Arabidopsis thaliana: one gene and its partner. The protein of the gene in region 1 interacts with the protein of each later gene in a pairwise test. Each region holds a gene or a part of one and is shown on either strand. Other genes may lie near its edges. The genes, in order: AT1G78930 and AT1G20910.

Region 1 (14,489 bases):
CTGTGAAAAGTCTTCGGATTTAGAACGGAGACAGCGAGAGGATAGAGCGCTTCTTCGGCTACAACAAGCTTTCGCTAATGGCGGTTTCCTTCTGATCACTCTCACCGGAGCCGTCATCTTCTCTGTTTTACCGATTTTTAGGGTTTGTTTCCGGATAAACTCTTCGTATGCTTTTTTTTTTTCGTTGGATTCGTTTCTGGAAACGTATCCATTTCCTGTCTAGAGATCATGTGAATTTCTCTTAGAACAGAACTCAGATCTAAATTAAAGTAACGGTGCTTGATTCATTAAACTCGGAATGCAAAGTCCCTTGCGTTTTATTCACTGAAATCTTAGTCGATTAGATCTTGAGGTCTGTTTGTTAATCGCACTTTTCTGGGGAATTGATCGTAGAAGCAATTACGCTCATGGGAAATGATGAAAGTTATAGCTAAACTTTACTGTAGAACCTTACTCTGATTATATTTCATTTAAAAATGCTATTTGGTTGGTAAAGAGAAACATCACAACTTTTCATACTTTTCTATTTTTTTCAGAAATTTTGATTGTGGTGGAAACTTGTTGTGGCAACTCTACTGAGAAAGTTTGAAGAAGCTGGAATCAAAGATATAGCTAGAGTTAAGAGGGTTCATACTAACTTGTGCTCGTTTTGTGATGTGCTGTTGTTAACGTTTGGAGGAAAAAGTTGTAGTGTATTAAAATTCAGCGTCCGAGTTCTGGGGCGGAGTTGCCCCATAGCATTGACTTTACGCCTCTACACATAGTCCGAAGGGCTAATTCAGCTCAAAACATGATGATGGATGAAGATGTTGAGCAGGCCAGTTTGATGTCTTTCAATGACAGGCCTAGGGCTTTTCCCAACATGCGTAGTAAAACCTATAGTCCACTGGTACAACTTTTATTCCTCTCTTTCTTGAGTGCTTTTCTTTTTGCTTGCATCAGATCACTGAGATGCGTATTATAACTAGTTTCCTTCTATTTCGTTTAGCATCTTAGTTTCTTGAGCATCTCGTTTTCATTTTCTTTGAAATTGTATAAAGTTTAGTTGTTTTTTGGCAGATATTCCGGATTATTAGGAAATTAAATGTCCGTGTCCTTTCGATAATTCTGCTTTTCTGCTTCGGAGCAATCTTTTACATGGGGGCAAGTACTTCTCCCATCATCGTGTTCGTCTTCACAGTATGCATCATCAGCTTCCTTTTGTCAATATATCTAACCAAGTGGGTTTTAGCGAAAGATGAAGGACCTCCAGAGATGGTTGAGGTAAGCTCACTCAGATTATGTGGTGTTAGTCATGATGTTGACATTTTTCCTTCTTTGTTCTCATCAAAAATTTGTAATTCTAATTTGTGAGGTAATTCTCTTACTTATAGATATCAGATGCTATACGTGATGGAGCTGAAGGTTTTTTCAGAACGCAGTATAGCACTATATCCAAGATGGCCATTTTGCTAGCTTTTGTGATTCTTTGCATATATCTATTCCGTAGCTTAACTCCCCAGCAAGAGGCTGCTGGTTTAGGAAGGTGCTGATACATGATTACATTCACAAGATTTATTTTATCTTTTGAATTGTTGTGAATGAAGCTTAGCCATATTACTATTTTGCTGCAGGGCGATGTCTGCTTATATTACTGTTGCTGCATTTCTTTTGGGGGCTCTATGCTCAGGTATTGCTGGATATGTTGGAATGTGGGTGTCAGTTCGTGCTAATGTGCGGGTCTCCAGTGCTGCCAGACGATCTGCGAGAGAAGCATTGCAGGTTCTTCTTTAGTTTAGCTATTTTGGTAACATGTCATGTACACGTTTCCAAATACTAAGTGGCAGATATAATGCAGATAGCCGTTCGTGCTGGTGGGTTTTCAGCCCTGGTTGTTGTTGGTATGGCTGTGATTGGTATCGCCATCCTCTATTCTACATTTTATGTGTGGTTGGGCGTGGGTTCACCAGGCTCAATGAATGTTACTGACCGTAAGTCTTCTGCTCTTTTTTTTTTATGAAAAATATTCATTTTCGTCTTGTGTGTATATTCTATAATCATTGTACTGAGTTTCAAAAAGTTATTGTTATCTTTTCAAAGGATCATTTTCAGACATGAGCAGTATTTTCTTAAATATGTCATGACTTGTATTAATCTTGATTGAGGTGGGGTACCAATACAGTTCTAAGATTTTCAGTGAACCCTATATGTAATTCTCTTGATTTATTGACCAGAATTTGCATTTGCATGGGCGATAGTGGAGCTATTAAACTTGTAAGATTTATTGATTGAATTTTCTGTTTCTCTTACAGTACCTCTTCTTCTTGTCGGATATGGTTTTGGTGCTTCGTTTGTTGCCTTATTTGCTCAGTTGGGTGGTGGAATATATACTAAGGGAGCTGATGTTGGGGCAGATCTCGTTGGGAAAGTTGAGCAGGGAATTCCCGAGGATGATCCTCGAAATCCTGCTGTTATTGCTGATTTGGTATTTGATCTTTGTTCTTTTTGTTTCTTACTTTCTTGATTCTGTGATTCCCAAACGTGACATCCTTGTTTGGGGCATATATCACTCTACAAGGGTTTGCTTGTGTTTTCGTCATTTAGGCATTTAAAGCCATTTTCATCTTCTTGTAGGTTGGAGACAATGTGGGGGACTGTGCTGCTAGAGGTGCTGATTTATTTGAAAGTATAGCTGCAGAAATCATCAGTGCAATGATACTAGGTGGAACAATGGCTAAGAAGTGCAAAATTGAAGGTGCACCATCTCTCTTTAAAGTTACTTCTGGTATATGCAAATATATAACTTATGGTGTGAGTTCCTGACTCATACCGAGAAAATTAAATGAACTGCTAGGATTTTATAATCTGAAATGCAAACTTAGGAAGAGTTGCATAGAGAGTTCAAGCTCGTAAATTACATTCTGTATACAGAATAATCTACGCTTTATTGCATGTTTTGGTCACTCCTTGAGGATTTGAGGGTACATTATTACTTGTTAGGATTTAAAAAGTCGACATAAGTTGTATAGAGTTATTGTTTGAAGCACCTTGTACGAACCTGCTATGCATTGTGTGAAAATTGAAGGAAGACTACTTTTCATGACAGCAAGCTACACTTGGCTGCAGTCAAAAAATTTCAATAACATTACCCATTTCTAGCAGTGGTTGTTAGATATGCGCTGATAAACATCCTATTAAACCTCTTGTTCATGCTTGATACTTACTCAAATCTTTCTCTATTATGCAGATCCATCAGGCTTTATCCTTTTTCCTCTAGTTGTTCATTCTTTTGACTTGATTATATCCTCAATTGGTATTCTATCAATCAAGGGAACACGTGATGCTAGTGTGAAATCTCCGGTAGAGGATCCAATGGCTGTACTTCAGAAAGGATATTCTCTGACAATTATATTAGCTGTTATAACATTTGGCGCGGTAATGTTGTCACACATAACCATTGATTGTCTTGTTCCTTTCATTCTTTTTACAATTAATTCTGCTTTTTATGGGCTTTTTGGTTCAGACTTTTCATTAGCCTACACTAGCCTTGTTATTACTGAAATTTCGAACAAATTCTTTGCTATATTCTTCTGACAGCATTATTTATGTTTGTAGTCGACTCGCTGGCTGCTTTACACTGAACAAGCTCCATCTGCATGGTTCAATTTCGCCCTATGTGGGTTGGTTGGCATCATCACAGCCTATATCTTTGTCTGGATATCCAAATATTATACAGACTATAAGCACGAGCCTGTTCGGACGTTGGCTCTTGCTAGCTCGACTGGTCATGGGACTAATATCATTGCTGGAGTAAGCTTGGGCCTGGAATCAACTGCTCTTCCAGTTTTGACTATAAGTGTAGCTATTATTTCTGCGTATTGGTTGGGCAATACCTCGGGTCTAGTGGACGAAAATGGTATTCCCACTGGAGGTCTATTTGGAACAGCCGTTGCTACAATGGGAATGCTAAGCACTGCAGCTTATGTCCTTACTATGGACATGTTTGGCCCCATAGCTGACAACGCTGGTGGGATTGTCGAGATGAGCCAGCAGGTAAGATGTCACATGATTGGCTTGAAAGGCTCTTATGTTCCATCTTTATTCTATGTAGAAATAATAAATGTTTCGTGCAGCCAGAGAGTGTCCGTGAGATCACTGATCTTCTTGATGCTGTTGGGAACACCACAAAAGCAACAACGAAAGGGTTTGCCATTGGATCTGCTGCACTTGCATCATTCCTTCTCTTTAGTGCGTATATGGACGAGGTTTCAGCGTTTGCTAATGTGTCTTTCAAAGAGGTAGATTTCGTTATGCATCGTTGCTGTATTCTCGATGTTGAGACAACTTCTCATACTCATCCTCGGATAAAATCAGGTTGATATTGCTATCCCAGAAGTGTTCGTTGGTGGATTATTGGGTGCCATGCTTATTTTCCTCTTTAGTGCTTGGGCATGCGCGGCAGTTGGTCGAACTGCACAAGAGGTTGTCAACGAAGTAAGAAGGCAATTTATTGAGAGGCCTGGCATAATGGTGAGCATATTTTTCCTTTTGAGTGCTTCACCTTTTCTTGTGTATTGGCTTGTACCGTTGTTGACTAGCAAATATCTTGTTGCAGGAGTACAAGGAGAAGCCAGATTATAGTCGCTGTGTCGCCATAGTCGCATCTGCAGCTTTAAGAGAAATGATAAAGCCAGGAGCTTTAGCTATTGCATCACCCATTGTAGTTGGTAAGTCAGTAATATCTACTCGTTTTTCTTTACTTACTGTATTGAAAGTTTGAAACCACAACATTGTGACCAAAAACAAACCTCTTGTTCTCTCTTTCAGGTTTGGTGTTTCGAATCTTGGGTTACTACACAGGACAACCTCTGCTCGGAGCAAAAGTTGTAGCTTCTATGCTCATGTTTGCAACAGTTTGTGGTATCTTAATGGCACTTTTCCTAAACACGGCGGGAGGTGCTTGGGACAATGCAAAGAAATACATAGAGACCGGGGCACTTGGGGGCAAAGGAAGTGAAGCTCACAAAGCAGCTGTGACTGGTGATACGTAAGTATTTTCGTTCTACTTCAACACTCATTCAAAGTTATATTCCTGAATACGATTTCTCATTAGAATTCATCTGAAAATTGTAGCGTGGGAGATCCGTTCAAGGACACAGCCGGTCCATCCATTCACGTCCTCATAAAAATGCTTGCGACTATAACTCTCGTCATGGCTCCGGTTTTCCTCTGAAAGTGAACCGTTACTTATCCATCCCGGCTTATTTACTCTCTTGCACATATACAAATAGAGAGGGAGAGAGGTTGGTTATAAAATGATTTACATGGATTAATGGTTTTTGTGTTTCATTTCATCTGAATAAATGAGATAATTCTGTTTTTGAGTTTAGAGACACTCTTTAAGGAATTCTAGAGACATTTTAATCAACCACATCTTTGACTTTGAGAGTCTTTATTTTCCTCGATTTAATCTTTCTAGTACTTCTTCTTACTCTTCTTGATTTGCCTCCAACTCGTACAGACAATTGTCTACTCGGTAGTCTTATGAGACGGCGGTTGTTGCGATTGCTGCCATGATGGTGGTGGCTGTGTTTGCTTCCTAGTCTTCTTCTTCTCTGCTTTGGTCTAATGTTATCTATTCGACTGGGACTGTCCGATGAACTTGATTCATCATCACTCGGATAATCATAGGTCGTAGCTTCTATATCATCGAGACGTTTTCTGCGACGGTTGACCCGATTTATGTTAGTCAAACTGTGACACAAGCAACTAATCATCTCTCCAATGTCGAACCAGTACGCTGCACAAGCGGCACATGACATTTTGCAGATACTTTTCACAACACATTGGCAAATTCCAAGCTTGAACAGGAGGGTGATGAACATCAAAACTGGGAAAAAGAAACAAATACAAAATTATAGAAAACAAAGGAAAGTTCACAGAATCAATAGTGAATGCTAAAAATCGGAAATAAGAGAAAGGTTTACTTATGAAACAGAGGCTTGACATCAGCACAAGCTTTGCAATATCAGGAAGACAGAAATGTTCTATGAAACACTCAAGATCCCATGGTCCCGAGCATACATCTCTGTAATTTTTAAACAGAAGAGAAATCCTCAAAACATGCGATAGAAAAACAAACCAAAGCGATTTCACGACAGAATTCAGACAATGACGTGAAAATCTTACAAACAGGATCTTCCAAGTGTGGCTTTTAACGGTGCTGTGAAAATATTCCCGATAAAACCTCCGATGTCGTTTGATGCTTTGCCTATAGCGTTTCCCATTTTTGCTTAGAACGGTAATCAGTGACTCGCTCCAATCATTTTCTCAACAATCATGTTTATCAAACGTAAAGAGATAAATAAATTTTCTGTGAATTTTCAGAATATGAATGAAGTTACATCCTCGCGTACAGTTTCAGAAACGAAAGAAAAAAAATTGCGAGAAACCGTTTCCAGAGAGAAAATTCGGCATATTTTTCATAATTTTCAATAAACCGTTTGTTTTTTTTGGTCCAAAAACATGGTAGGAATATTTTGAAAACCCTCGAAAACAATTCATACACTTATACACACACATCAGCCGATTTTTTTTTGGTAAGAAGTTAGGAATTTGTATACAAACACTGGAAGTACATACACTAGCGGTTATATGAACAATGCAAACAGACAAAACTGAAGAAGCTTCAGAGATATCACCAATCTCATTACATAGTGTGATTTTCTCTAAGAAACTTTTTCACCTACAATATAACTACGAGATTTCACTGTGAGTTTGAAGCTCTCCTAAACCCAAGAAATCAGCAGCAAACTCTTCATCGTTTTTGCCTAACATTTCCTGTAATGTACATTCTATGTTCCTCCCTTTGAGTACCCTAAACCGCGGTTTTATCCTTTTCTCTAGCGAGTAACTGAAGTACCTTGGGTATTCTATTACCTCTCTTACCGGCTTCTCCATGCTGTTCACCAGAAATTCAAACTTCGGTCTCAACACTTTGTCGATGCTATATCCTAAGATCGGTGAGAATTTGCGAATCATGAAGGCAATCTCTCTCTCTGATATCCCAATCTCCATTAAGTACTTTAGCCTGTAAGAGCATATGTTTACAAAATTAGGGGTCATTTTCTAGAGATAGATTCACTAAGATGATGTGCTATTTGGGTCAAGATAGATACCGTGGAAGTACTGTTTTGTCTGCGTCGTATATGAGAAATTCAGGGTATTTCTTTATGATTCGGGGAAAATGTGTAGTGGAAACACCAAAACGAGTGAGAAAGATGAGCTTTTTCTGCAGGGTTTTCTCAATGCTGCAGCCAAATATTTCAGGACATCGACACAGTATTTGACCTACAATTTCTTTTTGAAACCCCAAATCTTCCAAAAAGCAAACAACCTGTTACAAGATGAAGAATAGCGTGGTTAAAGAAATAGTCTTGCACAATAATAGAATGAGAGAATACATATCTTGGAAAGTGGTTTCTTTACCTTAAGAAATTCTTGGGGTTTACATAACAAAAGCTGAGGCATCTTGGGTATAACCTTCCCCATTCTTTTATCTCTAACACCTAATTTATCAAATTCCTTCACCATCATCTCCATATTGCTGGCTGAGCAACCGAGAAGCAAAGGCCATCTCCTAATGGCGTGGTCAATATCCATTTTGAGCACCTAAGAAAGTAAACCAGGTGTTGGTAGACCAATCATAGAACAAAAATGATAAATACAACTTAGCAAACACAAAACCACCAATTTTCTGATCAACGTGATGTATTCTGTCTTGTCAAATTGTGCTTACCGATTCACTGTAAAAAAATGAGCCGATGTGAGAATAGTTCTCTTGTATGCTTGGTGAGAGAATCCACGGATACTTCAGCAACAATTTTCCAGAATCCTTGTTCACTACACTTACCTGAACTTATACAACCCCAATTTGCAATAATCAGCAATCACGAGAAAACAAAGAAAGTGCAGCTCCATGCTAATTATGAACAACCAACCAACCATACCTTCTCCATAGCTGTGGCTACCCTTCGTTTGATCTCCTCAGTTTTTCCGAGCATGATGGGAGGGTACAAAAGAAGTACCTTTCCCAAGCAATATTTCGGAATACCAATGCTTTCAAGAAACTCGACCATAGGCTTCATATCATTTTCTTCTGAAAGTAGAAGAAGCCGAGGGAATGACTCGAGTAAAAATCTAAATGATGCATCTACAGAGCCCAGCATATCCAAGCCTCCACGCCTTGCTTCAATCTAAAGTACATTTTAACATTCTCCTTACTAAAGAATATAGAGAATGAAAAACAAAATCAGATACTATAATATAACTGAGGAAACACAAAAAACCTTTTCGAAAAAGGAAAGAGTTTGCTGCACATCTTCATCGATAGGAATGGATAAGTAGAGCATCATTCGTCTTGCATACTTTCCAACCAGACCTTTCTCATCACTGCCAGAAAAGAATATTTCCTTGAGGTACTTAACCTATAATCCAAATCCAAGATTAAGTACCAAATCCAAACCCAACCTAACTCTCTTTTGATGATGCAGAGAAATTGAACAATCTGTGAATTACCTTATCGAGAAGTATCGGAAGCGATTCAGAGGAGACGTAATGAGCCAAATACATAGCAGAAGACAAACTCAAACCAAGACTCTCCAAAAAGGCAACTTTGCCACCATCACCCTTTTGTTTCACCATATAAATCACTTTCTCCTTAAACCCTAAACCCTCCTCAACTCTCTCAGATTCTCCACTCCCTTTCCACGAATTCCATTCCTCCAAATCCCTAACACCCTCTACGATCATTCGCGTGTATTTAGGACAATTTGAAGAAATGAAATCTGAATCGGCCTCTGAGAGTCCAGTGTCTCGTCGGAGAAACCCAGCAATTGAATTCTGCGCTTCCTGATTTGTCTGCGAAGAATTAGAGCTAAAATTCGAATCTCCGTGCTGTAACGAGGCGGAAACAGTGACGCGGCCACTATGGTAAGCTGGAAACAAGGTTACGCGACGAGGAGAGAAGAAGAGAGAGCTGGAACTAAAGTTACAGGATTTTAAAGGAGGAGAAATCAAGGTTAGGGTTTCGAAATTGCAGGACGTATGTAAAAGCTCCATAAACAAACACGATGGAGAAGAAGACAAAGGTCGCTACTTTGCTTCTGCCCACATCAAGAGGAAGAAGAAGAAGCTGTTGCAGGGTTTATCTGTAGCTATGGGTTTAACCATTTTGATTTTCAAAACCAAATTAATTAATAAAACCAAAATCCCGGTTGGGTCAAACCGGTCTGAGCCATTGGGCCTATTTATATGGGCTCTTACATTATCGATTCTTTAATAAATACAGTATTGATTGTTCAAAACCGTTATGGGCCTAACAAAAAGGCGGTTACATAACTGATTATTTAACAGAATACCAAATTCCTCTAATGCTATACACTAATCAGCAAAGAAACTTGCTCTGCTTTTGTTTATAACTCCTGCAAATTGAGTGTTAGAGCACATTTGCTTCCCTCATATCAAAACTAGGATTGAGATTCTGCAGCTGGAGATTCCGGAATCGAGACTTGGCTAGTGTTTGGAGACTTTCCTTGATTTCCTGCATAAAACACACTCTCTAAACTCTCTTCACCTATCTCTCTTAACCGATTGAGCTCAGGCAATATCTCTTTCCCGAGGTCAGGTCTATCTTTTCTTCTTAGTTCCGCGCATTGAAGCGAAAGCTTTGCTAAAGATAGAGCTTCTTCTATAGGCCAGTCCGGTACTGCTGGATCAAGCATATCCTTAAGAGTCCCTTCTTCGATCGCTTGTTCAACGTAATAAGCCAAACCCATTGGCTGTTTTGCGGTTAAGATCTGCAAAAGCATGATTCCAAGAGAATAAACATCTGACTTCACACCCAACATTCCTGTTTGTTGGTACTCAGGATCAATGTAACAGAAAGTTCCTGCAGCTGAAGTGACTCTGTACTGTGTAACGTTTTCCGCTACTGCAGGGACTAATCTCGCTAGCCCGACATCACTGATCTTGCTCACATAGTTGTAATCGAGCAGAACATTTCCTGGTTTAAGGTCTCTGTGGACAATTGGTTCAGGTTTGGTCTGGTGGAGGAAGAGGAGTCCCGTGGCGATCTCAGCAGCGATTCTGAAACGTAGCTGCCAGGTAATCGGCGGTGTGTTTCCTCGCATGAAAAGCCGGTCTTCTAAACTTCCTTTGGCCATGTATTCATAAACAAGAATCCCAAATTCTGGACAAGCTCCAAGAAGAAGCACCATGTTTGGATGCCTTATGCAGCTTAACACTTCAACCTGAGAAAACATAAACATATGTTACTCAAAGATGAAAACTTTCTTGTATAAAATCAGAAACGAAGAAAGATTTTTTTTTTACCTCTTTCTGAAACTGTGATCTCCCTTGAGCTGCGTCTGGGCGTAGAACTTTAACAGCAACACTTGTGTGATCAAGAAAGCCTCTAAAGACAGGACCATAGCCTCCTTCTCCTACCTTTTGAGACTCTGCAAAATTTGAAGTAGCTTCTTCGATTTCGTCAACCGTGTATTTCCTATACCGAACAAATCCGCGAGAGAATGAATCTGATTCCTTCATTGTCTTCATCTCTGCAGTCAACCTTCTTTTAGATTCCACTTCTGCTAATCTCTTTGCAGCTTCAGCAGCTTCCAACGCTGCTTTGGCTTTAGCTCTCTCCTTTTCCACTATTGACATTGCTGCTTCCTCTGAACTTTTTGCTTCTTCCAACCGTCTCTCCTCTTCGGTTCTCAGCTTTTGCAGCTCCGTTGCCTAAAAGTTCAAAAATCGATATTTGATTCAAATGTACTAATCTCATTGACTTAGATGTTAGTATTAAGTACTACCTGTTGTCTAGCGCTTAAAGCTTCTTTACAAGCTGTGCTATACATATCCATGGTTTGTTTCAGCTCTAGACGCAGCCTCTTCATTTCAGCTTCAACATCATCCTGCAACAAGACAATCCCATCTTAGCAAGTATTCAATCTTTATAAGAAGAAAAAGAGAAGGAGCTTGAGTAATAATAGTACTAACCAAGCTCTGAGATGAATAGGAGGATGTTCTACCACTCTCTTCAGAGAATGTAGAGGATTCGTTAAGGAAATCAGGATCACTGAACTTAATTCCCAAACGATTTGAGCCAATGCTTTGCTCTGAGCTCGTTGACATTCTTGAAGTCCTTGCAGATTCAGGAAAATCAAGGCTAAAGGAAGACCGCTCAACGCTTGGTCTTCCTGAGCTGATGAAGGAAATGTCAGAGTCACGATGAGAAGACGGACTGATAAACGAAAGGTCACTATCTGAATCATAGAAGTCCCCATATGGCTTCCTTTTCACCAACGGCGATCTACAAGAAAACATAAATGTTGAATCTTTTAAGACTTTATGTAAGACATTAACCTTAAAGACATCACAACAAGCTTCCAATTCCTATACCTATCTGCTTCAACTGATTTGCGCGGTCTAGATGGTGTACTACCTGTTTGCAAAATCAATGGAAACACACAAAATTGGATCAGCTTTTGGAAAAGCAAAGAACTTATTTTATTCTTTTCAAAGAGGAATGAACTAAACCTGCAGAATTGGGATGGTCATGGTACTTTGGTGCTTTGTCAGGAGTATGTGGGTGATGATTGTCAATTTCACATTGCTGCATCGAATTTTGGTAAGGAGCAGGACGTGATGCATTTCGTACTGAAGCAATTTTGCCTTTTGAAATGACATAAACATTGCAGAAATCTGGAGCTGATTTTGACACTGTTGTTGGCAAATCCGTCTTGAATCTTCTGCTCAGAGTCATCAAAAACAGAATCCTTTGAACAAAAATCCAAACTTTTTGTTACAGAATCTGAAAGAAGGTAACTTTAATTACCTCATGAAGCCATTACGTGATGCAGATCCAACGACTAAGTTCTCAATTGCAGAAGATGAAACATATTCGGTAATGGCTCGAACTTTGTCTGCGTCTTCCAGCAAAATGTCTCGACAATTTATCTGCTCAAACAGAATCGATTAGGGTTGTTCAAAGTAAGGACCTTTAAGGGTTTTTGATTCAGAGAATACCTCTTTACGGGAACAATAGCAGTGGAAGGATACAAAGAGATCTTTAGCTATCTTCTCCATTTGCTGTTTCTGTTGTGGCGTTCCTTCTTCAAGATCTGCAACAACGAAACCAAAAAAAGAACTTAAACTTTATCGAGAAGAAACTCTAAAAGCTGGAAATTCCCATGAATGTGAGAAGAAGATTGGGACCTGAAGAAGAATGAGATCTGCAGAGGACATGAATAAGAGAAATGGTTTGGCCACGAGAAGCAAGATTGTCGATTGTCCATTTAAGAGCATGTTGGCTTCCTTTGTCTTTGTCTATTGCAACTGCTACTGAACCACTTCCTGTTTCTTTCTTTGCCCCATTTGCTTTTGGTAGCCACATTCTCTTCTTCTCTATATATATATTATTATTATTGAACAAAAGGAAGAAAAGTATCTCTTCCCTCTCTTGAGTCTTTATGATGCAAAAGAGAAAACTTCACTTTGATTTGACAAAAAAAAAATAGAGTTTGATTGATCAAAGATTCTTTATGGAGGAAGCAAATGAAGTAGAGATGCAAGATTAATGGGTTGGAGAATTTCCTCTTTTTCTAATGGTTGTTGTTTAAGGGTTTTATTTTTGGCTGATAATCTAATTTCAGATTCTATAACACAAAAAAAAGATAAAGAAACAATAACACATTTGTGTGGTTTTGACTCTTTTGTTCAACATGTTGAAAAATTGGAAGAAACATAAAAAAAAAAGTGTAACAAATGGCCTAGTCTAAATTTAGACGATCACGCATCTCTGTATCTTCACCATGTGAAACATGCCTTCCAATGGACGGTACACAAAAAGAAAACATTGACTAAAAACATTGACATATCGCATACACGAATTCTTGTAATAGACTGATGATAGGTTAATAAATTCACATGTTCTCTGATATAAAGAAAAGTTTATGAAAAGTGTCGTCATGGCAACGAAACTCGCGCGCGATATTCTGCGAGTGCCCACAACGGATGAATGTTTCTATATGCAGCGTAGTGTAATGTGCAATTCTTCAAAAACACTCCGGTTGCTTGCTGAAAAAGTAATTAAACAAACTACAATTAGCTTTTAGCTTTGTTTTTTCCACTTCTATCAGTAAAGCTATTACAGAATTTGGAAGTTTTAAGATGATAGTAGCCATTTTGGTGTAGGAAACGTACCTGTTGAGGAAAATCTCCACTCTCCAGTTGTGAATTGATGATAAGTTTCGCAGCACGGTGAAGAGGAATCGGATCTCTCTCTGCCTGTTGTGTAAAGCACTGGTCATATATAGTACTGATTCATTAATTAATTGTATTTTCGTCGATCAATATTGAATGATTAAAACCTGTCCAGAGTGAATGAGACCCATTAAAGCCCAAGCAGTTTGCACCACGTTTGATATCTCCCCTACTTGTGCTATGTATATCTGCATAGATCAAGAGGATTGTAGTGACTGAATGATCCTACATCAAGTTGATTTCATCAAAATGTGCAAGTGTGTACCTTTTTGGAGCAAGAGAGGTAGCTTTCTCCCCAGCCTCCGTTGTCTTTCTGAGCTGCAAGAAGAAACTGAACGCCTTTGCGTATTGCCTCACAGTCGTTAAAAGTCTTACCCGCAGCTGCTAAGCCTGCAAGAGCAAACCATGTACCGTACGTGAAGCAAATGCCCCAGTTCCCATACCTGTAGATTCAAAGAACAATGGTTCATTTCTTGTTAGTTTGGATTTCCGTGAACAATTTCAGATAAATCGTAATCGCTAGTGTACCATGAACCATCACGTGTTTGCATGTTTTCTAGGTATTCCGCAGCTTTCTTGATGAAAGCGGTGATCTCTGTTGTCCTGTGATCAGGGTAGAGTTGCTTGAAAAGACTCAATGCTTGGATTGCAGACGATGTACATTCACTGTACTCATGCTCAATCACAATGTCGGAAAACATTTCTGTGGGATTGAGCAACTGAGACAAATACATGAAGAAGGTTACATGACCGCAAATGTTTTAAAAAGTATCTTTTGGTTGTTTGAAAATAATTATGGGGTTTGGTTCTTACTTCCAACCACTTGGGAGCACCAGCAGGCTCCCAGGCAGTCATACCTCCGTTTTTGCTCTGCAAACAAGTGAAACTGTCACGACCTGAAAATGGGTGTTTCTTTGATGATGTTGGTTCTATTCTATGTCTGATAATGCTCACCTGTAAAGAGAGCAAGATATTAACAGAATCATGTAGTCTCTCGGGGTCTTGTTTTGGGCCAACAATATCCGGCGCCAACATCGAGAACAGCAGGCAGCACTATGAGACCAGAAAACAGCAAGGATGTAGTACTCATGCCACTGAAGAACATGTCAATGTGTTTAGTTTTAACGGCTGGTTACCTTTAAGCCATGAGCTGTGCAGTCTGAAACTTGCCATCCGTGATCTCG
Region 2 (15,903 bases), about 22 Mb from region 1:
CTTGACCATTGTCCAATTTTTTTAAGCGATATAGAACATTCTAAAATCGTAATTATTATCCACCCAAACCCGTCCTACCATATAATCCAGTCCCGTGAAATTAAACATAATTTTGTCATTTTCTTATAAATTTCAATATTATAAAATTTGAAACTTAAAAAAATACAATATCGACCCAATTTTTAAGATTTTTCCTGTAATATATCATCTCGTATTAATATATTTTTTCTATATTTGTAATGTTTAAATTTCTTGTAAAATTCAATTTATAATTTTTAAAACTTTATAAGTTTTAAAATTATAAATATTTAAAGCATTTTTTAAAGATAAACTTTATAAAAAGTTTTTAAAATTATAATATTTAACATTTGATAAAGTTATAATATTTATAATTTTTTGAAACATTTTAAAGTTTTAATTCTTTAAAATAAAAAATCCGAGTAAAATCGGATAACTATTTTAATTTTGGACGCCTGATAAATCAAGCTTCATGCTCATTCATAATCAGAATCATTTTGGTCCTTTTATAATATGGGTCTGAACCATTGTCCAATTTTTCTAAGCGATGTTGGACATTGTACACATATTATTTCTTCATAGGTTGAATAATATATGTCCGTTTTAAAAAATTTGAATTACATCATATTCAGAAAAAAATATAATATTTTATTAACTATATATATTTTATATAAATTCAAAATAAATAAAGTATAAGATCAAATAAAATTGAAAGAAGAATTATATATTTATGTTTAAATTAGGTAGAAATATTTTAGGAAATTAGTTAAGGTAAATAAGAAATATGGTTAGTTTAGAGATATTGTTTATATTAAATTTGGTAATTAAATCATTAATTTTCGTTTTTAATTATTAGTTTTTAGGTAACTTTTCCAAAAACTAATGTTATCCAAGATCAGAACTGAATTAAACATGTTATCCAGGATCTGAACAGAGTTAAGCCGAGTAAAACCCACCCATTTGAATTAATTGTTGAATTATGGCTCAAATCTTCAACATTATCTTCAAAAATCCCCTCCAAACATGTATATATAGATATTTCCATTATGATATAGTTTTCACATCTTAACTCCAAATCATGAAACCTAAATTTTATTTCCAAGTCTCAACATCATATATTTTAATTATCATCTTGAACTTCTTGTTAAAAATATAAAATTAATTCATAAACTTTTCTATAAACCTAAGTTTTTTAATATTTTTTGTATCGTATTTATACTAATTTCGATCTTCTTTGTTTCCTCCGTAATCGTTGTCGTAATTTCGTAAACCTAAATTTCATATAGCTCCTTTCTTCTATGTATATATGTTTTGTACAATGTTTCATATATATAATAACACCCTTTGGCAAAAAAAAAAAAAAAACTTTTTCAATGTTTATCTTTCGTGGTTATTACATATAGTAGAAATCCCAACATTCAACAACAATAAAAGGTTACAAATCCTATATTTACCAAAAATTAAGAAAGTCTAAAAAGACTAATAGATACAAAAAGAAGAAAAGAAATTGTTTACTTTTTGAGTGTAAAACAAATTAAAGTTAAAAACCACATAACATCCCCCATCCCATCTTTTTTACTAATACCTTCCTCCATTAACATAAGATTGTCTCTCCTCTTTCGAATTGTCTCTCCTTTTTCAGCTCTCTCTCTGTATCTCCTTCTTCTTCTTCTTCCTCCAGCTTCTTTCAATTTCTCCGGCTGCTAAACCCTAGCGCGCCGTCGGAGTCCCTGCGTTCTCATACCAACCTTTACTCGCCGTCGCCGTCGCTGCAGAACTGGTAAGCATATGTTTTTTTTTGCTGCTCTCTGTATTCTATGGAAGCTGAAAGGTCTTCTCGGCTTGTTTATCTGTGGTAGTTTTGATTAGGATGAGGTTTTGTAGTAATAGAGTGAGTGAGTTTGCTCCAATTCTTAATTGCGTTTAGAGATAGAAGAGAGAGAGAGAGAGAAGCTATAGTTTCCAGGCGGAGAAGAAAGACAATTCCTTTTTGTTTAATCTGGAATCACCAATAGTTAGTTATATACAGTTTTTTTATCTTCTTCGTTTTTTTCTTCTGGATTTGTTCTTTTGTCCTTGTCTTGCTGTGACTGACTACTCCACAACAGAAATCGAAGCTTAAGATGGTGGATACCGAAATGCAAGAGCAAGATGTGACTTTTGGTGCCCTTGTTGAGACAAAGTATTTAGAGGAAGAACCTTTGGAGCCAGAAAATGATCACAACCCTAGTGAAATCCCGCAGCCCCTTCTTCTTGGAGATGGTCAGGCTAATAATGGTCATGGCATGAATGGTGGTGCTGTTGGAGTTGTTGACCACTCTGAAAGGAAGACTCGTAGGGTGCAAATGTTGAGTCCTAAGACTGAAGGTGAGAATGCCAAAAAGAGGAAGACTTGGCTGCTGGATTCTGAGGTACTAGGCTATGTTTCTTTCAATTTGGCTCAAAAAGCCTGTGTCTTTTTGTTTTCTCAGGATTGGATTTCACTGTTTTGTGGTCGAAAATTATGTGGTGATTGTTCACTTACTGGTTCACCTTTCTCTACAGGCACAGGGAACTGATGAAGCAGGGACACCGGTAGAACAAGTGGCGTTTCTAAGAGAAGTGGAGGCCTTTTACAAAGAGAGTTTCCTGGAATTTAAACCTCCTAAGTTTTATGGACAGCCTTTAAACATTCTCAAGTGAGTTGTTGGAAAAGTGGTGCTTTTGTTCTTAATAAACCCATATATCTGGTTAATCAGTGCCTCACTTTTGCATCCAATGTAGGCTTTGGCGAGCAGTCGTGAACCTAGGTGGCTATGAAGTGGTAATTATCCAAAACCATATCGTTTTTAGTTCGTCAGTTTATAAGTCTTGGTTATTTAAGTTGGCCCGTATGATTATCACCTACATTTTATTGTTTGAATTGTGGATGGCATATGAACTGTATATAGGGTATAACTATTGAATCCGTAAGCTAATTTATGATAAGAGTATCTATAACGATGTGGCTTTCAGAGAAGATTTATGACTTTAAGCGAACATATCAAACATTAAAGAATGTTCGATATTTTCTTGGGAAACTGATTTATTTTACTGTTGTTAGCTATATTTGGAATTATATATTCAATGTTTTCTTAATCTTCTGCTGGACTTATGGTCTTTAAGATTCCTTTGTTTTTTCATGGTAATGTAGGTCACCACAAATAAGCTGTGGCGGCAAGTTGGAGAATCCTTCAATCCTCCCAAGTATGGCTGATATTTTCCTTAGACTCTCCGTTAGTCTTTACCAATTTTTCATAATGCTAATCTTTTTCCACATTTGGTTAAACTATCTTTATTCAGGACATGCACAACAGTCTCCTACACATTCCGCAATTTCTATGAGAAGGTGAGTTTGTTTTTGTGCATAAGTATCGTATATTTATCCTGTCTTCATTTTTACTTATCCACTTCAGACAATTCTCCTTGTGCTTCTTCTTAGTATGGTGTGTTATAATAGTTAGTTTAATTCTTTGTCTTGCTGAGGTAGCTCTTTATTTTGGACTATTCTTTTGTCACTTCGAAGTTTGAATGCACTGCTTGTTTTCTTTCTATCTTATCATATAGATACAGGTACATATGATCTATATCTTTGCTTCAATTGCAGGCACTTTTGGAGTACGAAAAGTGTTTAAGGAATAATGGTGAGCTTAACCTTCCTGGTTCAACATTGATTCTGTCTTCCAGTGTCGAGAAAGAGGTATGAATTTCCCCTAAAAAAATGGCTTTTGGATTTTAGACACTACTGAATAATATATAGAAATAATGGTAGATATGGAAAGTTTGGATGAAGATCGATCTAGCACCGTAAAATTAATGAAGAGTATCTACTTGTCAATTTATTGTGGGAAGGTTTCATGTACTGTGATTAAATGTCGTTGATACTGAAGAAATGATAGCATAAGAGTTATTTTTCAGCATTTATGTAATACCAGCTAAACCTTTTAAACCCAACTATCTGCAATCTGACTGAAGAAAGCTGTAGCCATTTTGTGTTCGATACAAAAGCCATAAGAAATCCGTGTGCATAACCCAGTAAATTACCATATAAGTTGCAGAAAACCTAAACGAAAATTCATGTGCCTCCCTTTTTTTCCCTTCTCCATATTTTTTTCTTCCCTGATACAAGGACTTTGCTGTAGCCAAGTAGCCATCAAGGTTCAGGGTCAGGCAGGGCACGAAGAGATTCTGCAGCTCGTGCTATGCAAGGTTGGCATGCGCAGCGCCTTGTTGGATCTGGAGAGGTTACTGCGCCTGCTGTTAAGGTTTCACTTCAAATCTTACTGCACTTTGTGATTCCATTATGCAGAATTTTTTCATGCACCAAGGAATCTGACTCACATGTAGAAAGAAGAAGACTTTTTATTTCTTTTGTCGTTTTTTATTTCGGAAGTAAAATGATGTTCTCCTTTTGTTTCAGGATAAGGGCTTAATTTCCACCCCAAAGCACAAGAAACTCAAAAGCATTGGTACAAAATAGTTCTCAAGGCTTTGCTATTTTGTCAACGAGGGTTGCTTAACGTTATGTTTTAAACGGTTTTTTCAGGGCTGCAAAAACACAAACAACAAACTAGCATGGACCATGTTGTTACAAATGAAGCTGACAAACAGTTACGGAAAGCTGATCTCTCCTTCTTATTTGCAATTCTAAGATAGTTATATTAGTTTTTTGGTTCTTCTTTCAATGCCTCTTAGCAGTAATGAGATGAAAACGTAGCATTTTCTGGACCTGAACATATTACTATAGATTAACGTTAAGGTTTCCTTTTTGTCATGATAGGTTGGCTGCTGAGGTTGTTGATGTTGGACCCGTTGCTGACTGGGTGAAGATAAATGTCAAAGAATCTGTGAGTAACTTCTGCCAACGGCTAAAGAAACGCCAAAAACTTGCAAACTGGATGTTTGTTTCCAATATGGAATTCTTACCAAATCTGTTTTCCTTTTTCTTGAATTCACAGAAGGATTCCTTCGAGATATTTGCCTTGGTACCTGGACTTCTTCGCAAAGAGGTGAGCACTCCTTTGTAACCCTGTCTCTGAAGGCTACTTGATAAGTCCTTGTCTTTTAATTTTGTTTGAATGCATATTACTGTGACAATACAAAGCAAGCACAAAGCGATTTGGTAGGTTACCAAAGCAGATCCGTTGGCTTTAGTTTCATAGTCTCAGTACACAGTGTTGTAGGCAATAAGTATTTTCTGGTAAAATCAGTACATAGTTCCAATTACTGAACATACGTTGTCTTTTCTCAGGTTCGAATTCAATCAGATCCTGCGGGAAAGGTGGTTATAACAGGCCAGCCAGAGCAGCTTGACAATCCTTGGGGGATTACACCCTTCAAAAAGGTAAAACTTTCTTCTATATTCCAGATATGTCCATTAACTGAACTGATACAGAGACTGAGAACCTTCCTGTCATTTTGATATGTTTTCACCAGATTGTTGACTTATCAGCAAGAATTGATCCGCTTCACACATCCGCGGTCATGAGCATGCATGGACGGTTGTTCATACGAGTTCCGTTTGAGCAGTAATGGATTTCAAGAGAGCTGGTCAGTTGTTCGTGGTTTCTTCTAGGAATTCATATGTTTCAGAACCAAATTGTTAGGCGGCTGAAGCAGTTTTGTAACTGTGATTTGAATCTGAAGACTGAAGTTAGGAACATGCAACAAACATTTGATCTTACTGTAATATTTCTCTTTTGTATAATTTGAGATTAGTAGGAGAAACTGCTCCAAAGACATTTAGGATGCAACCAACAATGATGATTTTGATCTAAAATCGGAATGTTATGCTTTTCTTATACATATTTTTTTAATAGAGATGAATAGATTTGCCTATCCCATCTACTAGTTCTACTTCCAATAGTATACTTTTAGGTTCTCATGCGTTTCGGTTTTCAAAAGTTCTCCTGAGATGATTTGTTTTCAAAAAGTGAAAGTGAAAGTATGCATATATTGGTGGTGCATATTATTAAAGGGAAAACGAAAACAGCAAAAAACTTATTGACATTTCCCTGAATCTAAAAAGTTCATGATCGGGAATATATGATTTAGAAAAGAAAAAAAGGTTCATTACTTGTTTATATATATATATATATATGTATCATCAATTCATGACGAAAATTTAAGGTTCAAAAGTTTTGAAGCTCACTCTAGTTTTTGAGTCATCAGAAAATACTGCAGTATTAAGACAAGAAACATTATTCTCAACTTGTTTTCTTTCTCTTTAATCATGCAAAAAGGTTCACACTTCACAGTGATCAAAAAAGGTTTTTTATTGCTGATTCTCAACTTGGTGTAGCTCAATTGCATGTAAGGCACATGACATGACCGCATGGGAATTTGATAATATTTACAACTACAATGCTCTTTCTCCAAGCCCCCAAAAAAAAGTCATATGATTCCAAGTATATGTATTGATTCTAATTTATATTTTATATATTTTGGCAAAGCTAAAACGTTTTTTACTAAGAGACATCTGATCACTATAATATTTAGCTAAGAACTGTAGATTGTGACTTGTGAAATTAATCTGCAATTTGTTCCATGATATCAGTTGTAAAAAAAAAACAAATCATCCTAAAATAGTTAGAACTAATTCAATCAATAATAATCATACATCTAAGTTATAACATATTCATCAAAATTTTAGTAGCTTTACAACCCCAACTATGTATTGCCATATGCCCATATTGCACCTATAGCTGAATAGGCGTAACAAAGCTACCTGAAAGTAGTTAACTATAATTCGTTTTAGTATGTTGGTATCATTTAAATAACTTTAAAACTTTCTCATGAAAAATAAAAAAATATTACTACTTGCTTAAGCTTCCTTTTGTTCCTAGTCAATAAATATGTCCCTAGGGAATTGGAACATTCCTCTTTTTCACATATCTTGGTAATCAAAACCCCATTTTTTGTTATGTTGTGACAGAGACTAGCTCTTAACTGACACTACAAATGATTTATGTTCATTGTTAATCTTACCATGTTAAGTTCACTAATTTGTATGTAACCGACGTACGTGAGATAATCTCTACTTCATGTTTCTACTGTGCTCTGTAACGGTTGTCTTTAACCAATATACATTGACTAAAATCCCAAAAAACAATACTATGCTCTAAAAATGGTTAAAGATTAGATGAATAAATGGAAAATAATAAAGATGTAGTATGAGATATGAAATAAATAAAAGTAATCCCCTCGTTATATATTTTGCATAATAGCAGAAGCATATTCTTCTATGAATGAATTTGTTTACTTTTCAGTGGGATGTTAGATAATGATTCCATTCTATTTAACGAATATGATTAGTTTTAGCAGAATATAGAATTTCACTCTTTATCTCTCTAGTTAGACAAGTATCCCCAATATCATTTACTCGTTCTTTTTATCAATATATATATATATATATATAAAAACTCATATTTTGTAGTGACGAAGAAACACGAAAATAGTAATATATAAACCGGTATAAAACCATATTCCATATATATATTTAAATTGTTGGGACAGAAATATATATAGATTGAGAAAGAGCAGAATATGTATTTGAAGTGTTGGTTGAGAGTTGAGACAAATTCTCCATACCAGCCAAAATTAAGGGGTTGGAAATCTCAAACCAAAAACTACGATTATAACATAAATGGTACTGTGCATATGTGACCTATAAATATTAGCTTAAAGCTACGTACTTGTTGCCAACCTGTCTTTGAATAATGTTGGATACAACTATTTTACAGGATCGACGGTTAATTAACTGAAGCATTAATGCATATTTTATGCATGTAATTAAGTAACTGTAGTGATCGAATGAAAAAGGTCATAACATGGCCACTAGGTATACATGTAGTATTTTTAAAACACTAGAAACTGTATGAACGCTAAATAGTTTAAAAATTGCCCATGTTGTTTTCCTAGATGGTAAGACTCGAGATCGCTTAGACGGCCCTGTCGTAATTAAATAGCCAATTACACCAATCAATGGAATTTTCAACTGTAAGTACAAACGGCTAAAAAGACGTTCTAATCAGGCAAGTGGTTAACTACAAAATTTAGAACGATGCACGTTTTGATCAATATGTAAGCATATTCTTAACACCTTATATATAGATGGGTATATATGACAGTACTCTTAACACAATAACACCGTATAGATAGATAGATATGACACAGAAGTTGTGATCTTAAAAGGTATACTCGGCTAAAAGACGCTACAAGTACTCAAATGGTACGAATAATGAATTTAGATGCACAAAACGTATATATTGATCAATATGTATAATAATTTTCTAACCTTATAATGAATACTACATTGAGGTTGTTAAAAAGTTGAAAGAACTATATTATACTATGATTAAGGTAACGTATTGACGTATTGTAAAAATATTCAAATGAGCGCCTGAGATGTGCCCACATAATATTTCATCAAGAATACGCCGTGAAGCTCAAAATTCTTAAAAGAACAAACGAACTCATTATTGAATAGTCTAGACCTATATATCTATCAAATCGAGCTAATTATAATAATAGTTATAGGGTACAACACGAAACCCTAGCTATGAATAAAAGAAAGCCATATATGGAAAGGAATTTTCTAACATAACGAGACACATGCATTTCTCTAACATGTAACATCTACCGAAGATATGAGAAGAAAAGAAATAAACACGAGAAACCAAAATATGCATATCAACTAAACATTAAACACCAAATATCCCAAAGGAAAGACGACTCCACAAGATGATAAAAACACATAAATTTCCGGACATTAAAATTCAATTAAAAAGGTGGTCTTGAAGGTGTTCCAGCTCCCCATCCAAGCAAATGAGGATCACCAGAAAACCCATAACCACCCACATTACCTCCTAACTGTCCCTGACCGGTCACTCCAGACGGCGGAGATGCTGATGGAGCTTGTTGCATCTGCGGTGGCCCTCCTCCTCCTCCTCCTCCGCCACCACCACCTTCTTCTTCCTCCTCCTCAATCGGTAGTCTCTCGAAAACCGCATTTGAGAACGAAGCCGCCATTAGTATAACCGGAGCTGATGCAATAAGGGGAGCCACAACGCTTCCTCCGACCACCTGACCTTGCCCTCCGGCTAAAAATATAGACAAACCACCGGCACCAGGCGGTGCAGGAGGTGGCAAAACAGTCCCCGTTAGCGAAAGAATCTCAAACCTTCCATGTAAAGTCACAACTCCTCCTCCTCCGGACACACCACCGCCATTTCCAGGAGTGACTGGCTGACGGAGAGTGACGTTAGATACGGTGCCGTTTCCTCCTAAAACGGAGACGCCTCTCCCTCTCCTCCTAGCGTACGTGGAAACACTCTCAACTATGTCAGCTCCAGGAGATACTTCAAGAACGTGAGATCTAAGCGCGTTGGGGCTATCACGAGTTACTATGATCGGTGGCTTGGCTTTGTTCTTAGATCCTGGTGGACGTCCACGTGGACGTTTTCCCGGTGCTGAGCTTGATGTATTCGGGTCTGAATCGGGTCGACCCTGTTGATGATGATCTTTGTTTGAATGGTCAGATTCTCTTGAATCATCCGACGGTTGTTGTTGTTGTTGATGTTGCTGGTGCTGATGATGATGCTGGTCGATAAGATTGATCCCGCCCTGCGGTTGAAGCTGTTGGTGGTGAATCTCCGGTCTAAAGAGGTTATGGAAGTATCTAGAAGCTCCACCGCCTTGCTCGTAACCGCCTTCCATCGCCGCCGCATCTACTAATTCCCTATCCCACCACTGCTTATTCGCCAGCTCAAATCAATTTCTCGATTCTTGATCCTGCTCGTTCATATATTGGTAGCTAGGTGAAGAAGAGCGTAAAGAGAGAAAAAGAAAACTCAGATCGAGAAGTCAAAACTCATGATTTTGAGGAAACAATAGCTAAAGCATTAAGGTGTGATCGGTTACGCAAGCCGACAAAATATAGAAACAGACCAAGAACAGAACTAAATTAAAGACGAAGCAAAAGATATAAAAAAGGTGACTTATGTTAAATGATCTCTCTCATGAAAGGTAAGAGGAAACCCTAGTTAGGTAGATTAATTAGGGCAAGAGAAAGAAGTAGCTTCTTCTTTGCATAGGAGTCGTATTTAGCGATTCTGATGTGCTATGGGAAAAAAAGGAGAGAGAAGCTTGAGATTCATGTGCGACTCTGCAATAAATTTTTGGTCCTCTCATTGAACGAGGAAAGTAAAAGCAAAGACATACACCGAGAATTTAGCGGAGAAACAGTCCCCTTTATTATATCATTAATATAATAATTATTATTTGAATAATATGTTCTTTTTTAAGTAAATTAATACTATTTATTACATATACACAAATGCCGACAAAAAAATTTATGTGTGTAAGTGGTTATCCTTACATAAGATCTACCAAAGAAAACTAGGGGTTCGTCGCAGTTTTTGTTTGGCTCCAATCGGATAATACAAAAGAAATTTAGAGAAGGAATTCTTATATTTGAAAGCATGAGATAAGATTAACAGAAGAGATAACATTTGGTCAATTTGTTTATCAGATACTATTATATACGAGCTAAAGAAAACGTATCATTTAACAAAAAAAAAAAAAAAAAAAAAATGTCAAGTGGAAGTTGGGTACACAAGGATTAAAACGAATCCTACATTCCCTTTAAGGCGCGTGGAGGTTATGTTTAAACAAAAGTTATTTGATAAATGTTATTATCATGTTACTAACTTATTTATGGTTTTAGTAACTTAATTAAAAGGTTTTCGTATAAGTAAAAATGAGAAATAGTACTATTTAGTCTTCTCTTACTTGAGAAAATACTACTATAGGTCATTTTATTTAGAATTTTAATTTACTTACGCATCTTTTTATTGTAAAACTTAGTATAAACTTGCATTATTACTAGATATTTGTAGGCTTGTGATTTGCATAGTGCTGCTGATATATGTTATTATTCATATTCAAACTGGATGCAGAACGTGAGTTATATAGAAGAAGAAAAGAAAAAAAATTTACATGTATAGTATTATTATTAGTTTTGTCAACTAATTTTGTAAAAATATAATGTATAATAATTTAAAATAGATATATAGTATATGGCTTGCGAATACAATATTCTAAGAAGAACCCACGTTCTATAATAAACAAACGGATACGAACCATCTTTACTATAGAAAAAGAAGAAGAGAATTAGTCACTTTTAAGCGCTGCAGAACAACAATTGATTAATTCTGCTTGTGATGTGTTTTTTTTTTTTTTTGGTTGCTACTAAATTATCTTGCTAAACCCGAGCTAATTATATATCAAAGAATCAATGTTCTACTAAAGTACTTTATATTCACTTTTATTGTCAAGAGGGCATAAGGCGCATAACGTAGAACAATCAATCTAGGTAATGGTCCTTTGTTCTATACTGAGATAGTGAGATCTACCCATGTATACTCCTTTAAATATCGTAAAACGGAGTGGACCCTTTTTGATGATAAGTTTGGAGAAAGTTAATGATCCATTAATGTGATAAGACTAGCTGATAATTATCAAAATGTCAAATTAGTTGATACTACTACTTTATATTTTCAAAAATTATTGATAAGTACTCCACTTTGTTGCCTTATGTCGAATTTGGTGAATCACTAATTAGAACTACGCTTTTTCTAACATGGACAAAAAAATATACCAGAAAAAGACAACTAGACACTGATAATTTATTGATTTAGAATGAGTAATGTATTAGTAAAATTTTTTTTTGATATATCATCTTCATACAAATGATATCAAACTTTTAATTTACAAAAATTGTTTGGGAAACAAACGATAATCCTGAAAACACTTACCAATTGCATCAACCCATTCAAATAATTATTGACTTATTCATCTTAATTTATTGAACTGACTAAACTCGATCCGACCCATTAATGCATGACCTCATATCGGACCGTGACTGGTTGTCTTAATTTTTAACTGCACCCATATAGTAACACCTAAGCTCCCTCAACGTGGACGCATGTGGCCTGAACCATGGTGGGACCAATCTCAGTAGGAAAGTAGGAAGTGGATCGGAACCGTCCATCCTCATGGCATGTGGGACCCAGGAACCGTCGTTTTCATCGGCGTAACCTGGCGAGTCAGGGCTCGGTGCAATGTACTTGAACCGGACACGTTAGCTTGGTCCGCACGTGCACAGACAAAAGTCACGTGCGGTCAAAAGGTCAGAGCATGAAAGTGAAAGCCAAGCTGTGTGACCACGTGGAGGCGGTCGGATCATCGGTACTTGGTCAATACCTTATCCAATCACAGTACTCCTCCCGAATCTATCTAACTTACTTTCGCGTCTTTTGCCCGTATTTCTAATGCTTAAAAGCAAAAACGTACGTGAAGTCTTTTGTGTGCGGTATTTTAATCATAAACTGGTCCAATTTTTTTCTATCGATCGAAAACGGAATGTGTGGAACTATCAAGATACTTCGAAAATAAGTGAGATATGTTTTATTTGCCCCCAAAACAGAAAAGTGAGAGGTGTTTCATGTGATATATAATTTAATTTTAAGCCATAAAGAGAGAGAACTACACGTCATCCAAGTCTATAAATATGTGACTGTACCTAAGTTCTTATGACGCTGTCGCTACTCGTCTAGATCATGAACACATTTCTCTCACATTAATTAAAGATTATATATGTATTAATGAATTCAGACGTCCAGTTACTGTCGCGTGGAATTCAATGTTAGAGAACTCATTAGAGAAAACTAAGTTAAGTTCTTGGTATCCATAAGAGTTTATATATTTACCAAACATGGAATAAAAGCAGTTCTAAATTGTTCCGACAAACACGTAAACTGATCAAAACATATATATATTTTTTTTTTTTCCCAACGACCAAAATATCTCGTAAGGATGCAGTAGATATGTGAGGTTCGGAGGCACTAAAGAATATCAATTTGGTTTCGGTTCATAATTGATCCCTTGATGATCTTGTAGCTGTTATTGTTCTTCTTTTTATTGTGGCTAGCTATTGCTTCTTCAGCCTACGCCCCTACTCCATATATGTATCTCCCCAGTCTGCTCTCATGCGATCACGAAAGGGTATCTCTTTTAGGGAAATCCAACAACTGGTGAATAAAATGCTGGCTCTTTATATCTAGAAAAAAAAACATCAAACAAAAAGTAAAGGTCGTGAGACTAAATATCATACCCTCTTTAACAATAAATAATATGGGCAAAAAATTGTGATGATTTAGGGATACCGTACCCATCAATCAGTATGCTAATTTAACTTCTATATTTATGTTCTTTTGTTTTTTTTGCTTTCTTTTCTCATCAATCAAAATACCACGAGCCAGATGTATATAAGATATTAATGCCATCCTTAAAGTTTATACTTACATAGCGATTCTATTCTCTACAGCACCTTTAAATTTTGTTTTTATAGTTTTGAAAGTGTAAGCAATGAGTTCGCTGTATATAAAATGAAAAAAAAAATCTAGCTAGTCTTGAACTCTCAGTTCTCATTAATTTTATGTACGTTAGTTAAAAAGTATTGATTTATCAATTCGTGGCTTTTTTTAAACCAAGTAAAGAACATGTATTATAACGAGTTTCTAACTCAGCTAAGTTTGATTATATTTTCTCCAAAAACTCGAACATCAATCGGGTGAAGACTTTCCCCCTTCTATCAGGAATTCAGAATTTAATTTACTAAATATCATACTTTGGAAATATTATTCATTGATAGTTCATAGTTGATAATGAATATATGGATGCATAAAATCCTTAGATAAGAAAACAATCAACAAGTCTAATCGAGCTCTTTATATCAAATTATCAATCAAATCATACTTTTTAGTTTGTCGCACGGAATCTAACATGCCCCGCATGTTAGCTTTGTACAAGAAGAAATACGTAACGATGAGTTGCACATTATTAGAGTAAATTAAATTGCTTTAGTTAAAATATTTGGCAATGATCTTCTGATAAAGTGGATAGATGAAAACGCCCCTGATATTCTTTTCTATTTTTTCTATATTAAATCTTAAAATTGTGCCTCATTTGTTTTGGTAAAAAATAAATAAATTATTTTTATATCTTAAAAAAAACGATTTGATTCCATTGACCTACAGTATTGCGTATTGTATGTCGTATGATAATAAATCTACATTACTCGAAAAATAAATATGAGAATCTAAGTACCATGATATGATTAATGGTTTGTGATAACATTATCACTATGTTATCATTTGGATTCAAACCTAAATAAAATACGTGAACCTAACTAAGTATTCATCAATCTATTTATCTAACAATATAATGGACTGTAAATTTGTTCTACAGATCAATAATTACATGGTCATATCCTTAATCATAGCGTTTTGTGGCCATCTCTTCTATTTCTCTATATATTATTAAGCTATATATGAAGGTATAGTATATATATTTATAAATAACTCTTACGACTTTGACTTGACATTTGATTCTACATAGACAACTCTAATAGTATGAATTGAAACCAGTATTTTATTGCTCCTATCAACCTGGAGACCTTGGTTTCCCAAATATACCTATGTTACTATAAAAATAATATGTGTATAATAATATTTTTTACCTACGTAATGATGCTCACAAGTCACAAGTTTTTACAGGAACTAGTAAAAATCAATTTATTATCAGTGGTCTCCAGACTCTCCACTATATTTTTTTTTATAAACAAACTCAAAAGTAGTGTGATCAATCAGAAATTACGGGTCAACTTTTTCGATAATGCCCAATCCCATTCTCACATCTTTGGCGACTTGTGATCTACCACCACCCCATCCACCAATTTTTAAATTATTTTATAATAATAAAAAGCCGGAGAATAAAACAAAACCAAGTGTCTTTTCAAAACTAAATGCCTATTTATTGTTTTTTTCTAGTCAATTTGTGGAGAAAACCTATCAAACTAAAAGGTGTTAGAAAATATTGTTGGATTAAATATTATAATTTGTATATAGTAAACATTAAAAGGTGATTTTATTGACGTATAATAATCTAAAAACCAAAAATAAAGGTGATATATTGAATAGAATTTAACTATTTAGTAGGAAGGAAGCAACATGGGCAAATTGCCAATTTGGTTTATAAAGGAGCCCACATGTTTACCTTACTATTTTGGACTTTCTGAGTTAGTGTCGAAGGCCTTTGGGCCCATAAATGGACCCCACAAAAAGACAGGACAAAATATCCTTAGAACTCGCCACGTAGATATCTCGACGTGGAGATCTGACCACGTGTACAGTTTATGTCCTGATTTTCGCAAGAGTGACGTGGACGGGTCATGATCCGCTTATATTTTCACTTTGTCTACAAGCCAAGTATATTAAATTGGGCCTCAAATTAGCCCAATCAATATATCAGTACATTATTAATCAAAGGCCCAAGTCTCACGCTAGCGATCGTCGACAACGATTTTGAGTCTTTCTCCGAAGTCGCCGGAATCGTATTCGCCGATCCAATTGTCGCATAGAAACTGTCATCTCCGGCGAGAGACTGATCTCTGGTAAGTCAATTCGATTTCGCGCGTTTTATAACTTCTGGTATTTTCGTATTCCGTTGCTGAGAGAAAATATTGCAGAGATTGCTTAACATGAAGCTGATACTTTAACCGATTCATCAAATTGACAAAAATCGTTTTCTTCTTTAGGGATTGATACAGAACTCGTAGGATGATCGATTTACGCTATAAAGAATGCTACTTGCTCATCTGTCTTATCGTCTTCATAAATTTTGTGACTTGTTATAGCGATGAGAGACTGTAAGTGTTGTTGAAAAACCTCACATTATCCCCAAACTCATCAATTTGGATTCTTTTATTGGTACTGTAGAAATGATGTTATCAGGTTTCTCTTAGGT

The links.
Region 2: the proteins of AT1G78930 (region 1) and AT1G20910 interact in a two-hybrid assay, tested with the Arabidopsis thaliana proteins (one large-scale study listed by BioGRID).

What each region holds. Positions count from the first base shown.
Region 1 is NC_003070.9:29,671,550-29,686,038, forward strand, and holds AT1G78930 (Mitochondrial transcription termination factor family protein), read right to left. Parts: upstream 9,209-14,489; 5' UTR 9,100-9,208; coding exon 8,557-9,099; intron 8,466-8,556; coding exon 8,328-8,465; intron 8,235-8,327; coding exon 7,989-8,234; intron 7,892-7,988; coding exon 7,778-7,891; intron 7,651-7,777; coding exon 7,468-7,650; intron 7,376-7,467; coding exon 7,158-7,375; intron 7,070-7,157; coding exon 6,736-7,069; 3' UTR 6,355-6,735; downstream 1-6,354. Other genes in the region: VP2 (vacuolar H+-pyrophosphatase 2), read left to right, coding at 791-889, 1,060-1,263, 1,374-1,525, 1,614-1,761, 1,838-1,970, 2,292-2,464, 2,614-2,734, 3,227-3,414 and 6 more; AT1G78922 (uncharacterized protein), read right to left, coding at 5,400-5,869, 5,967-6,067, 6,169-6,266; AT1G78940 (kinase with adenine nucleotide alpha hydrolases-like domain-containing protein), read right to left, coding at 9,305-9,355, 9,549-10,289, 10,372-10,779, 10,854-10,955, 11,041-11,353, 11,443-11,485, 11,581-11,792, 11,879-12,000 and 2 more; BAS (Terpenoid cyclases family protein), read right to left, coding at 13,009-13,119, 13,246-13,329, 13,413-13,493, 13,571-13,748, 13,834-14,024, 14,119-14,175, 14,260-14,358, 14,442-14,489.
Region 2 is NC_003070.9:7,266,874-7,282,776, reverse strand, and holds AT1G20910 (ARID/BRIGHT DNA-binding domain-containing protein), read left to right. Parts: upstream 1-1,540; 5' UTR 1,541-1,798; intron 1,799-2,126; 5' UTR 2,127-2,141; coding exon 2,142-2,429; intron 2,430-2,562; coding exon 2,563-2,696; intron 2,697-2,781; coding exon 2,782-2,821; intron 2,822-3,190; coding exon 3,191-3,243; intron 3,244-3,339; coding exon 3,340-3,385; intron 3,386-3,643; coding exon 3,644-3,736; intron 3,737-4,178; coding exon 4,179-4,301; intron 4,302-4,456; coding exon 4,457-4,505; intron 4,506-4,582; coding exon 4,583-4,646; intron 4,647-4,816; coding exon 4,817-4,883; intron 4,884-4,994; coding exon 4,995-5,045; intron 5,046-5,287; coding exon 5,288-5,380; coding exon of another isoform or gene 5,381-5,458; exon of another isoform or gene 5,459-5,472; coding exon 5,473-5,568; 3' UTR 5,569-5,834; downstream 5,835-15,903. Other genes in the region: ESC (Putative AT-hook DNA-binding family protein), read right to left, coding at 8,818-9,753; AT1G20890 (caveolin-1 protein), read left to right, coding at 15,717-15,805, 15,902-15,903.